3 linked regions of the Daphnia pulex genome follow. Each later gene encodes a partner of the first gene's protein in a complex. Links are inferred from orthologs where the notes say so. Each region holds a gene or a part of one and is shown in the gene's direction. Other genes may lie near its edges.

What was found.
Region 2: cyclin-C-like (region 1) and mediator of RNA polymerase II transcription subunit 16-like share a complex: the UniProt entries of both Homo sapiens proteins name them as parts of the mediator complex. The link is inferred for Daphnia pulex from reciprocal best matches to the Homo sapiens genes CCNC and MED16.
Region 3: cyclin-C-like (region 1) and mediator of RNA polymerase II transcription subunit 20-like share a complex: the UniProt entries of both Homo sapiens proteins name them as parts of the mediator complex. The link is inferred for Daphnia pulex from reciprocal best matches to the Homo sapiens genes CCNC and MED20.

Annotation. Positions count from the first base shown.
Region 1 is NC_060017.1:5,572,457-5,576,095, reverse strand, and holds cyclin-C-like, read left to right. Parts: upstream 1-1,471; 5' UTR 1,472-1,599; coding exon 1,600-1,631; intron 1,632-1,689; coding exon 1,690-1,796; intron 1,797-1,864; coding exon 1,865-2,071; intron 2,072-2,131; coding exon 2,132-2,255; intron 2,256-2,324; coding exon 2,325-2,449; intron 2,450-2,523; coding exon 2,524-2,722; intron 2,723-2,826; coding exon 2,827-2,899; 3' UTR 2,900-2,993; downstream 2,994-3,639. Other genes in the region: adenosine receptor A2b-like, read left to right, coding at 268-600; folate receptor alpha-like, read right to left, coding at 3,015-3,206, 3,263-3,478. UniProt on the Homo sapiens protein: Component of the Mediator complex, a coactivator involved in regulated gene transcription of nearly all RNA polymerase II-dependent genes.
Region 2 is NC_060021.1:618,196-622,500, reverse strand, and holds the start of mediator of RNA polymerase II transcription subunit 16-like, read left to right. Parts: upstream 1-1,452; 5' UTR 1,453-1,611; coding exon 1,612-1,703; intron 1,704-1,787; coding exon 1,788-1,943; intron 1,944-2,007; coding exon 2,008-2,206; intron 2,207-2,281; coding exon 2,282-2,522; intron 2,523-2,576; coding exon 2,577-2,741; intron 2,742-2,816; coding exon 2,817-3,160; intron 3,161-3,237; coding exon 3,238-3,394; intron 3,395-3,465; coding exon 3,466-3,673; intron 3,674-3,733; coding exon 3,734-3,876; intron 3,877-3,941; coding exon 3,942-4,141; intron 4,142-4,209; coding exon 4,210-4,305. Other genes in the region: delta-aminolevulinic acid dehydratase-like, read right to left, coding at 1-89, 703-949, 1,020-1,141. UniProt on the Homo sapiens protein: Component of the Mediator complex, a coactivator involved in the regulated transcription of nearly all RNA polymerase II-dependent genes.
Region 3 is NC_060026.1:11,663,691-11,667,834, reverse strand, and holds the start of mediator of RNA polymerase II transcription subunit 20-like, read left to right. Parts: upstream 1-1,199; 5' UTR 1,200-1,382; coding exon 1,383-1,396; intron 1,397-1,516; coding exon 1,517-1,659; intron 1,660-4,144. UniProt on the Homo sapiens protein: Component of the Mediator complex, a coactivator involved in the regulated transcription of nearly all RNA polymerase II-dependent genes.

The DNA of each region.
Region 1 (3,639 bases):
ATTTGTTTTGGGGTTTTTTCTCAAATTACGACATTTCGTTCAAATTCGCTCTCAGTTTTGAATTTGTTACGTTTAGATGGGTGCGTGGCAAAATTTAAAATCCCCTGTAAACAACATGTATAACAATAGGGAAAAAACCGTGATAATTTTACAACCGGCTCAACCCGGATCTAAACATGCTAAACAGTTTAATTTTCTTTATCCGAGCTGTTGTTGTGTAACCGACACGCAACTCTTTTCCTCAATGTTGCCGTTTGTTTTCGGCAGGTTGTCATGATTTTGTATTTCGGGAAATCAGCCCTGAATCCATTTATTTACGGATGGAAGAACCGCGATTTCCGACTGGCTTTCGCCCGTTTGCTCCGCTACGTCCCCTGCTCCAAGTGGGCGATGGAGCGCTCGCTCAGCTCGGTGGAAATGGCCACCGGAATCGGATCGAGAGCTGGATCCATCCAGCCGCACGATCGACAGCGACTCAGTAAAATCTATCAGCTGGAGCTGCCACCTATCGAGTGGCAAATCAACTCCACCGACCTCTCCAACGACGACTACCTACAACGAACGATCCCGCCGGATCAGCAACAAGTCACGGACTTGTAAAAATTCACGACGGCACGTTTTGAAATAGTTTTTGTTTTTTCACGTTACGCCGGACGCATGCCAAGAATCGTTCAAGTCAATTCTCACGGGGGCTACACTCTTTATTCATGCAGGATGCCTCTGCTTCTTGGCCTGTCCATCGTTGCTGTTGACTGATGCGGGAGATATGTCACATGATTTTTTCCCCCCATCGGTTGTGTTGATGATATTAAAATATTTTCATGTCTTGTGTATAGGCTCCATTGAATGTTGATTGTATTTTTCGTTCGTGCCGATGCCACGGGATTCAAACTCTCTCTGACTGTCCATATCGTCATATAGCCCACACATATTTTGTATCATCTCTGTTTTCTTACTCAATGGTCCATTCCGCATTTTGTATTTTCTTATTTTTTTGCAACGCATTTCTTTTCGGCCTGATGTACTCATGATTCTCGTTGTTGTAAAACGGACAAGTGGTCAAATTCCTTCGTGTTTAGTAGCCAAATTTACATACTCAATTATTCATGGATCGTTTGTAACTTTGTAAAATGTAACAAACATTGTGTTATGAACGTTTCGTTAGGCGACAATAATATGTAAACAAATACGCTGTGTAATGAGTCTCAAAAATATTAAATCATGTTTATTTACGTCGAACCAAAGTAACTCATTGCGTCATCATCCTAATCACTCAAAAACAGTCATACAGTAAGTCATAAGTTTACAATTAATTAATTAAAACCAAATGGAATGCAATGTTTTGTTTTGTTGAACGCTAATAAAACTTTAAAAAAAACAGAACAAAATCACGAATACGATCGTTCACAAATCACTAAATCAGTAAATCACGATGTTTTCTTTTCTTTCGTTTATTGGCGTGCTCGGGTGCGAAAAGGCTTCCATGTTAGAAAATCCGGGCACGGCGACATTTTAATAAGCGCCGCCTTACGTCGTCTAACCTAACAGTGTCGAGCATCGTTTACACACAGTAAACAAGTTAAACCTCGGCCGCAGAGTATGGCTGGGAATTTCTGGCAAAGCTCGCATTGGTTAGTTTTTATTTGTCTAACGTTTTGATTCACATTTAATTACTCACTTTATTATTAGTCAGCAGTGGCTACTAGACCCTTCTGATTTGGTTCGAGAACGCCAAGGGGATTTCGCCATCGTCACGGAGGAAGACTATCAAAAACTCTTCATCTTCTTTAGTAACTGTAAGTTTATATTAACTATGGAATCATCTCCTAAATGTTGAATAATAAAAGTGTCTTTCTCATGTTAGTCATCCAGGTTCTTGGTGAGCATTTGAAACTCAAACAACAAGTCATAGCGACTGCCACAGTTTACTTCAAGCGGTTTTATGCCAGGAATTCCTTGAAATGCATTGATCCACTGCTACTTGCCCCCACATGCATTCTGTTGGCTTCAAAAGTCGAAGAGTTTGGTGTAATTTCGAACAACAGATTAATCACAACATGTCAATCAGTTGGTATGTGATCTTTTCATAAGACAAAATTTGTTATTGTGATTCAATCAACTTCTTAAACAGTCAAGTCAAAGTTCAACTATGCCTATCCTCAAGAGTTTCCCTACAGAGCACAACACATCCTTGAGTGTGAATTTTATTTATTGGAAAACATGGATTGCTGTCTAGTTGTTTACCAACCTTACAGGTGATCAACTGTTTCTGAGAAAATTTAAAGCATAATGTAATAATGTTTTCATTTGAAATTTCCACACAGACCACTTGTCCAATTTGTTCAAGACATTGGGCAAGAAGATCTTCTTGGATTGTCATGGAAAATAGTCAATGATAGCCTAAGAACTGATATATCTCTTCTGTACCCCCCTTACCAAATTGCATTGGGTTAGCTTGAATTATTTTTGTCTTTTATCATGTGAACTCTACTTCATTTATTTCTTTCTTTTCTTCTGTATTAGCTGCCATGCAAATGGCTTGTGTTGTGCTTCAGAAAGACGGGAAAAATTGGTTTGCGGAAATTGCCGTCGATACGGATAAAATTCAAGAAATAACGCGTCAAATTCTGGCTCTGTACGATCTCTACAAGACCTACGACGAGAAAAAAGAAATTCAGGGTTTGTTGGCCAAAATGCCTAAACCCAAAACGCAGCCAAGTCGGTAGGATATTCAATTTCCTATTTAGATCCCAATTCTTTCTTATTTGATCACATTGCAAAGAATAAAATTTTAAAATTGTTTAATACACTGTGATAACTATGTAGGCCTCCCTCGTCAGCACAATCACAGGATGGAATACAGGGCACAAATGACCAGTCCATGGGTGTGACAAATTGATTATCATTATCATTCTCATTTTATAAACTGAAAAACACAAAAAAAACTGTGTTATGATCAACTATTTAATACATGCTTTCTTTTACAATGAAAATGAGAACGCAATTTCTCTATTCTAGTAGTTTAGAAACAACATCAAGGCGGGGAGTACGTATGTAAGCGGCTTCGTTGAAAACGTTTCCGCGCTGTTACTTTGTTGGATTTTCCATCGTGCAATATTTTCGTTAGGATTGCCTTGATCACCGTCAAACCAAATACGCATGCAGGGCTCTGAATTATTGGTATACTTCCATGAATGATCCCAAACCTTTTAGAAAATAAAAATGTAATCAAAATTCTAGGGAGAATGTTAATACTGTTTACCCTTTCACAAAAATTAGATGAGTTTTGAAAGATATCGGAAAAGGTGCGACATTCGGATTCAGGTCGGCAGTGATTGGTCCCATTAATCCATTTGAAGTTTAATGTCCAATTGTCTGTACATGTGTAATCATCCTTGCAAGCATTGAACCAATCATCACAATCAGTGGCGCAAAGAGGCACGTCCAAGAATCTTTCTCTGCGCATTTTCATGTTTACCTAGATAAAAAAGAAAATATACAATTATTTTCTACAAGTTTAAAACATTCAAAACAAATGCTGCTGGTTATATAAAACTAGCATCTAGGCCTCTAGGTGGATCTGTGTTTCTAAAATTACAAAGCTTACAGACAACAATGTCTTATTTATTATGTAACAGC
Region 2 (4,305 bases), on another chromosome or scaffold:
AACCTTGCAACACTGGCAGCATTATCTATGGTACCGTCGTCACAGAGGATTCCACAATGTCCATGGATGGTGTATGCGCAAATGCATACCTGCATTTACAGATAAATCAAGGCGTGATTCCCACAGAATAAAAAAGGATGGGTTCCGTTAGATAAAGAAAATTCTCAAACATTGACTGAAGCTGGTCTGTGTTCGAATTAGCCCAGACACCGATCGTAGCTGACAATATTCATATTAGTCTGCACTACTGAAGCACCGCACTGCGGTACTGGAAATGTCAGATTTCAGCGGTAGCGAAATTTGGCAATTTGGATAAATAATTCTAAAAGTAAGTCAGATCTTAGCGGGCATTGCATAGTAGAAATATGTAGCCTGTCCAGCAACAACTCTAATCAACATTTTGCTACGTTATTTATCGAAAAACTGTTGGATGACAGTTACGCCTGTAGGGTTTTTTGTTTATTCATGGAACATCTGTGTGTGCCTGACTTGTGTTACTTGATACGCCACCGGCTAGTTTGTGATGAACTTGAAAGCAAACTAGATAAGATTGACTATCAGGGTTAACCAAAACTTAAAACTCCAAAGAATTATCTCTAAACATTTATCCTGAATTTTCTATCCTCAATCTGTATAACCTTAATATTATAACATTGTAGTGGAATTACTTAAGATTTTAAATAAAATTGCGCTACAACTTACATCACACGCAATGAGTAGATCGGGGAAAAGTTGTCGAAGCTTTTGGATGGCCAAAATGACTGGGTTCTCAGGATGGTCAGCCGCCGAACCGAATTCGTCTTTCGGCATTGAAAATGGCACACCGAATAACAAGACAGAACTTAATCCCGCTGCGACGGCAGACTTTAAATGATTTTCGAGACGATTAACTCCGAATCGATAAATGCCAGGCATCCCACTAATTTCCTGTTCTGCTTCAGGGTCATCTCTTTATGTTATATAAGAGTAAATTAATGTCTGGCTAAATTTTTATAATGAAATTGCATTTAGTTACTTACACTATAAATAAAGGGTACATCAAATTGTTCGGTTTAATTGTTGTATCGGAAGTTTGCCATGCTCGTAGAGTCGCGTGAGAATATCCGCTGTGTAAGATATGTGTTATTGGGACTTCAGACATTCTTAACTAATCTTGTGGTGACTACTGAATCAATTCAACTGAGCACACTGAATGCCCAAACTAGATTGCTCTTCTTTACTCAGACTCCCGTCTTGCAATCTATCCTCGTACTACATTTGCATATTACTAATTTCGGAAAATTTATACCAAATAAAATGTACTTTATAATTATTTAATATAATTTATTCAAAAACATTTATACGTATACATCAAATTATAATTTTTTGCGATTCGTGCGAGTTTCATGTGGAAAAAATAATCAAAATCAAATCAGCGCATTTGTAATGTGCTCCGTTAGATGGCGCCGCAGAGCTCAGAGAAATATTGCGTCTGCTAGGTCTTTTTGGAATGGCTGCTAACGTTGTTTGAATGTTTATCTATTCGTCGCGTTGATTTCTGTCATCCAAAAAATATTTACTTGATTTGCAGATTGTCTTAATCTCTGCATTGAATTCGTGTTTCCATATATTATGGATCTGATCGCTGTTGTCCGACGTAGTCATTATGAAGAAAGCCCCAGGAAACGCCAACGATTAAACACGGGCAATTCTCCGTGGGAAAAGTGATAACCCCTTCACATTCTATTTAGTGCTATTTTTAATATTATATTGTATAACTCTTAATAAAATGTGGTTATCTTTTGCAGTGAGTCTGATATTGGGGTCACAGCGTGTGCCGTGTCTCCTCAAAATGTTATAGCATTTGCTTGTTATGGAACACTGAAGAGTAGTACAGCAGGTCCAAGTGACCAAAACATGAATGTTGTTGTTTGTGACGCTAATACCCCATGGGATACGCATATGTGAGTTTGAAATGTTAACAACTAGTTCAGAAAATTTGAAAAGTTATTCTGTTTTATTTTCTAGTGTTAAGAGCTGTGTGGCACAAGTAACTGTTCTGGAATGGGACCAATCTGGTCATTACTTGCTTATCGGTGATACTGCGGGAAATGCAGAAATCTGGACAACACTCACACATCTTTTGAATGAATGGACCAGAGTAGCTAACATTTGCATTCCAGATGAGCCAATCCAGGCTGGAATGTTTTTCTTTAACGGAAAGAAAGTAATATACAGTTGAAGTAATTTTATTTTTCAAATTAACCCTTTACATTTTTTTTTTTTTTTCAAATTTGTTTAGACATTTTTAAATTGCCAAAACCGGGAAAGTGTGTCATATCTGGACAAGTATATTCAAGTAGATATGAAACCAACTATTCGCGGATTCGGAGGTCGTCCTCTACAAGGTTTTCTTGTTGTTGGAATGACTGGCCTTGTGCAAGCTTTTGTGATGGGTGGTACTAAAGGGAAAACAACAAATGTAGAAATTCTTGGCGGAATACGATTAGCATATTCCTTTGTGGATCTTGCCTGGACAAAAGGTAGTTGAGTAATTAATTCATTACCAGTTTCTTAACTCATGTACGGTCTTTCAGATGGAGAAATATTAGCCGTAGCATGCACGGGAATCCCTTTGGACCCGATTGTATATTGCAAGCTTACCATTCAAAAAGATGACGGAGTGGAATTCAGTTGCCTTCTTGATGAATATCGTCTTCGTTCTGAAACACTCACTGGACTTTTCCCCCTGCAGTCAGGAGGTAAATTTGCTTGAAATATCGAACATTTTGATTTTGGTTTTTAAATACTGAAGGTGTCTTTCTTTTCAAAATTAGCCAACGAAATGCGTGTATGTGGTGTGAATTTCAGTTCACGAGAAGATCCATCGGGAATATTCCTAGTAGTAAATGGAATTAATAGTGGAACTCTGCAGTATTGGGAGCTGTCAGAAGTTGAACGAACGATTCATTCACTCTTCTCCACTTCGGCTGCCATGAGTCGCTTCCTGCAGTGGCAGTGTATGTCCGTTTTCAATTGCAACAGTCGAATCACCTACGTCTGTCCGTCACGCAATGTCTGGGTAAACGGCCAAGAAGCGGGTAGCCCTCCACAGCATCATTTAGTCATCGCCACAGTATGTGGAGAGTTATTGTGCTTATATCGCGAGAGTATGAAGCAGGTAGATATTGTCTATCTAGATTACGTTGAATAGCGCAAAAATTAATAACATTTCATGTGGACACGGTACGTTTTCAGGTTGGACACCTCAGCATTGTGGATAGGTCGAAATGTGAAAGCGCCCAATCGAAAACGGTCAGCTCGGCGTGTTTCACTGCCACTGGCAATGCATTGATTGCCTTCGATAACACTGCGACAATGTTTGTCTGCAAACTTTCTCCCATCACAGATCCTGGTAAGATTTTGGCATAGTCTTCGGCAAATATCTGAATGAAATAAGTTTTAAACTGTACAAATTATGTGTAGGAGCTTCGGTCACCATTCCTTATGCATTAATGTCATTGGAGTATTGTCTGCTGACTGGTATCGACTATTGGGACGTTCTTATCGGTTTGCGATCGACGATGCTGGATTCCCTGTGTGAACGATTAACCGACTCCTTCAACCAGCAATCTATTGGATTACAGCAATTGCTGCAATATAGATTGCTCAATATTAAATTGGCTATCTTCAGGTAACTAATAGAATTTTGTTACGAGTGCCATTAGTAATTGATACAATTTTTGGTTAAAAGGTTGGGTCCAACTGCGAGTTCAAAGGCCGGATTGCAATACGGTATTATTATGCTTAACTCAGTATATTACGCACTGAAATCGCTGCTGAGGCCACCATCAGAGCTCTTTAATCAAGATAGAGCTCCTGCAGATAGCCTTACTGGTAAATAATTAATGATTAAACATCCATTTCTATACATGTAACATGTGCTCAATATTTTCAATTAGCTGTGTTGAGTTCCAAAGTTCCAGAGGTCGGCACTGAAGTTGACAAAGTGTTGCTACACTTGGAAGTCAAAGAATTTACAGTTGAGGCATCAACTCTCATCACAGTGCAACATCTTATTCAATGGACAGTCACCTTTATTTTGAGGTTATTGAACAATTTGCCCGATTGGCGAACTGCAACCACTACACGAGGAACAATGGTAATATTTGACGTTTCAAATTATTCGTAATAAAAAGCGTTTTATTAAATCGGTTGGAATTCTTTCAGTGCGACATGCTACGTGACCCTAAACTACTCAATATGTTTCGAGAACTATTGGTCATATTCAGGATTTGGGGCTTGATTCGTCACTCGTGCTTGCCT
Region 3 (4,144 bases), on another chromosome or scaffold:
CACTTTGAGACTCGACCGGAATAAGAAATGAATTGGTAATCAAATTTTTTTTTTCTAGAAGATTCCGGATGCTGCTGAGGCACGCCAGCGAGCAACTGGCAGATTTTTTGTTTTACAGTACTCTCCCCCCTCTCTTGACTGGATGGTTTCCTATTTCTTTTTCGAAACAAATAAATTTCAAAAAAAAAAATCCCTTTTGACTTTTTCTTTCCTCCTGTTCTCACCATTTGCGAGAAGGATCAGTTAGTACGCAAGCCCGGTTCCCCCCCCCCCCACTCCTCTTTTTTTACACATGCACATATATCCTTGAGGGATGGATCAATGGTTTCCTAGCAACCCTAGTCGTTCGCTGAACCGAGTGCACCAACTTCCTAGATATAAACTCTCTCCATACATGTATGTATGGGGGGGTGGGGGTGGGACTATTTTGTAGATAAGCGACGACGGGGGGGGGGACAGACATGAACGAGATTTTGTTATTCCGCTCATAATACACACGACGACGACGGACATTCACACAGATAGGCGCCGCCGGTTTCTAGTCTAGATCCCATTATGTATGCGGTGGAATCGGTTGACCTCATCTTTGCGCGCGGGAGTGTGTCGAGCGCACATAATACCCCATCGTAATACCCGCGAGCGGGTTTATTAAACGCCGAGTATCACACTATCAACAGAAATAATTTCGAATGTTATCCGCACACGAACGTCAGCGGTTTTGTGACTACATATGTTCAAACTCGCACATTCAGCGGTACAAGAGAGAGAGCTCCGTGGGTATATTTGCATGTTGTGTAACAATTTAAGAGTAAAAGAGAGAGTTATGGGCCTGTCGTCAAAGAAACCCCAAGATAAATGTTGAGCAGCTACTTTTATTTAGACATATAGCTCGAGACGGGCCACACACTCTATAACGGCTCACTTGTAGTATAGTGTTCATCCGGTTCCCACCCACTTTTTCTTACAAATGCTCGACGCGAGGTTTTTCTCACTTCAGAACTGTCGTACGTGAATATTGGATGATATTTCTCACCCGTTTTTTTTTTTTTTGTTTTTGTCAAGGGGAGGAGTGTGAATGCTTCAAGGTTTCACAGCTCTTGTTTGTGTTCCCGTTTTCCGACTTTTCCCCAATCTATTTTTAAATAGTAAAAATCAAGAAAAAGGAAAATCGATTGATCGATTGTTAAGGAGCATATCGATACTTATATCGAAGCCGGTCTTTCTGACAGGCACGAAAAGCAGTTTGTTTTGAAACAAACGTGACTTTCTTTTTCATCTTTTTGTTTTGTAATTAAGTATAGGAATAGAATATAAACATTCAGGTGTAATTTCGGGGAGTCGACTGTGTGTGGAATTTACCTAGTTGACCCTGTAACAACATCATGGGTGTCATAGTGTGAGTAAAGCATTCAGTGTCTCTCAGCTTTATCACATTTCATTCAAATGAAGGAACCATTAATTGAATCACAAGTTTGTATGAAATAATTACTAATTTGATGTTGTTTTTCAATTTTAGTTTACAACTGTTTGCTGTTCCTGAAGGCAAGTCCGGTCCTCAGGTTATTGAAATGTTGACCAAACGGGCCATTGCTCTGGGAGCTGTTCTTAGTGGATCCTTCATCGTGGATTGTGAAACTTACAGTTCTACTGCATCATTGGGTAAAAAACACAATCTTCTATTACATTTTTCCCGATTCAAGTCCATGGTGGTAAACAAGTTGTGACAGCAGACCCATCTGCTGCTCACTTTACCAGCTCCAAGTCCACCGTTGGAACTGTTCAGCTTTCCCATAACCAGATGGCACCACCCATCTCTACATTTGAATAACTCAAATGTGGAGGGCACCGAGTTCTTTTGATTTTAACCATCCGCTCGACACGTAACACACGAGATATCCGAATCCTCTAAACACCTTTTACGAGCAAAACACACTACCTGACTTGTAAATTTCCTCCCCTTCCATTCCCACATATGGATGTCTCTACCTCTTTTATTTTTTCCTCCCAAACTCTTTGCTTAGTTTTCTTTATTCCCTTTTTGCTATTCCAACTTTTATTTAAGGACCGTGTCGAGTGAAGCTAGCTTTTTTTTCCCCCTAAAACGATTCGTTCTGCCGGGTAATTCAGGTAGGCCGTCCTACGTGCGCTAGTGACAAGCTGTCAACATATATACTTGCCCGTCCTTGGCTCTTTGACTCACGGACGCCTCTGGGACCGATGACATACGGTCCATTCAATTCGTGAAAAAAAACAAATTTGTTTTTTTCTTTTTATTAATTTTTTTGTTTTGAATTTCGTATTTCGATTCCGCATTGTTCTACTGCCATTCCGCGACGTTGAATCTGCCCGTCTGCTGCCGCCGCCGCCGCCTTATTGTCTCTTAAGTCTGTTAAGGCTGAGCGTTGATACAGTTGGCGTCTTTTGTTTCATCGATCCGTAGCCTCTCTCGACTCTCTTTCTCTTCTCTCTCTCTCGTCTAACTCGGCAATTCGATGTCAAGCGTATTTGATACGCCACAGGGCCATCAGCTGACTTGTGTGCACCACTTGGCAAAAAGAACGACCGAGAATAGCTCTGTCTCGACATGTTTACATTTAAATAGCTTCATCCCCTCTCTCTCCACTTCATTCCTTTTTTTCACAATTAGTTTCCATTTTCGCACACATTTCAAGCGACTGGAAATCAAAAGGGGTGGAGCCAGCAGATACACACGACACATTCTTGAAATGTTTTAATAAGTTACAAGGGAAAAAGGAGTAGTAGAGATATATATGCGACGAAGCCTCCTCCTTCTTCTTGTTAGAAAACCCCCCTCCCGGAGCGCATCTGAAGAGGAGGGAACCGTTCCCCCCAAACTTTCTTGTTGTCGTCAATCTTGGGCGTGATTCGTGTCGTCACGGAAATAGAGAGGGGGGCCGGCCAGTTTCGGACCGAAAATAATAAAAAAAAATGTTGAAAAAGGAACAAATAGTCGCAATATCTTTTCCCGTCTCCAACAGAAGACCATAGCGCGAGCACACTCCTCTCTTCTTTTTTGCCGATTTCGCCGATTTTCTGTTGTTTTCCGGCGTTCCCCCCACTTGGTATCCTCTCTACATCTGGCCGTCAGTCTGTGCCGTTCATCTGTGAAATTGAATCTCTCCGCACCCCCGTACGAGTTTTCTCAGCTGACACCTACACAGGACGGGCCAACTTGGCGAGTTTTTGGGAAGTAGGAGAATCTATCAGTGAAAGAAACGCGGACATTTTCATCTTTTTATTTTTTTCTCTTTTTCTTCCAAAACGATCAAGTTGGAATGATGAAATCTGAGCTTGTGGGAGCCCCCTCTGGACTTTAACCAAATGTTTTTTAATGACCCTTTAAAAAGACGCGGAGAAAAGAGAGTCTTAAAAAACGTTTTCTCTTTTTGAAGTTGTCCAACTTCATTTTCTCCTGTGTGTTTTATTATTTGTGATCTTTCAATCGTTAAGGGCTCGTGTGTATAAAACATTTTCCCCCGTTCTTTTTTCTTTCTGATTTTACCCCGGGTGTATAACCACACCTTCCTACAGGGGGGTGAAAGCCGTTTGTTTCGTATGATAAAAATAAAAAAAAAAAAAAGAACTAGGAAGGCAGGTAAATTATTACCTTTGGTTAACCTTTCCTCTGTGCTACGGTAGGGGGGCGAGAGAAAGAAGATCTCGTCGAGAAATCTCCCCGTCCGTCCGTCCGAAATGAAGACATTCCGATCGGGGGATGGCGCAAAAGAGAAGGAAAGAGAGAAAATATTTTTATATCAGGTGAAAGAGGAGGAGGTTATACATGAAGTAGAAGAAGAAGAAAAGAAGCGTCCATAAGTTGATTGGAATGCGTTGAATAATTCACGAGCTGGATTGATTTGGTTTAACACAGAAAAGGGCAGCAGCAGCAGCCACCACACCAGGAAATAAAAGAAGATGTATCCTATTACCGGGGGGGATGATGTGAGCCTGATGGAATATCACCAAGTTCCTTGTAAAAGAAGAAGAAGAAGAAGAAGTGAGCGAGAAAGCACATTGGGTTGGTTGCCCTTTTGTCGGGTGTTTGGGATCTCTACTCGATTGAGATTGGTCAGGGCCTCTCTCTTGATCTAACTCTGCGACGTGGTGTGGGAATCGTTCGTGA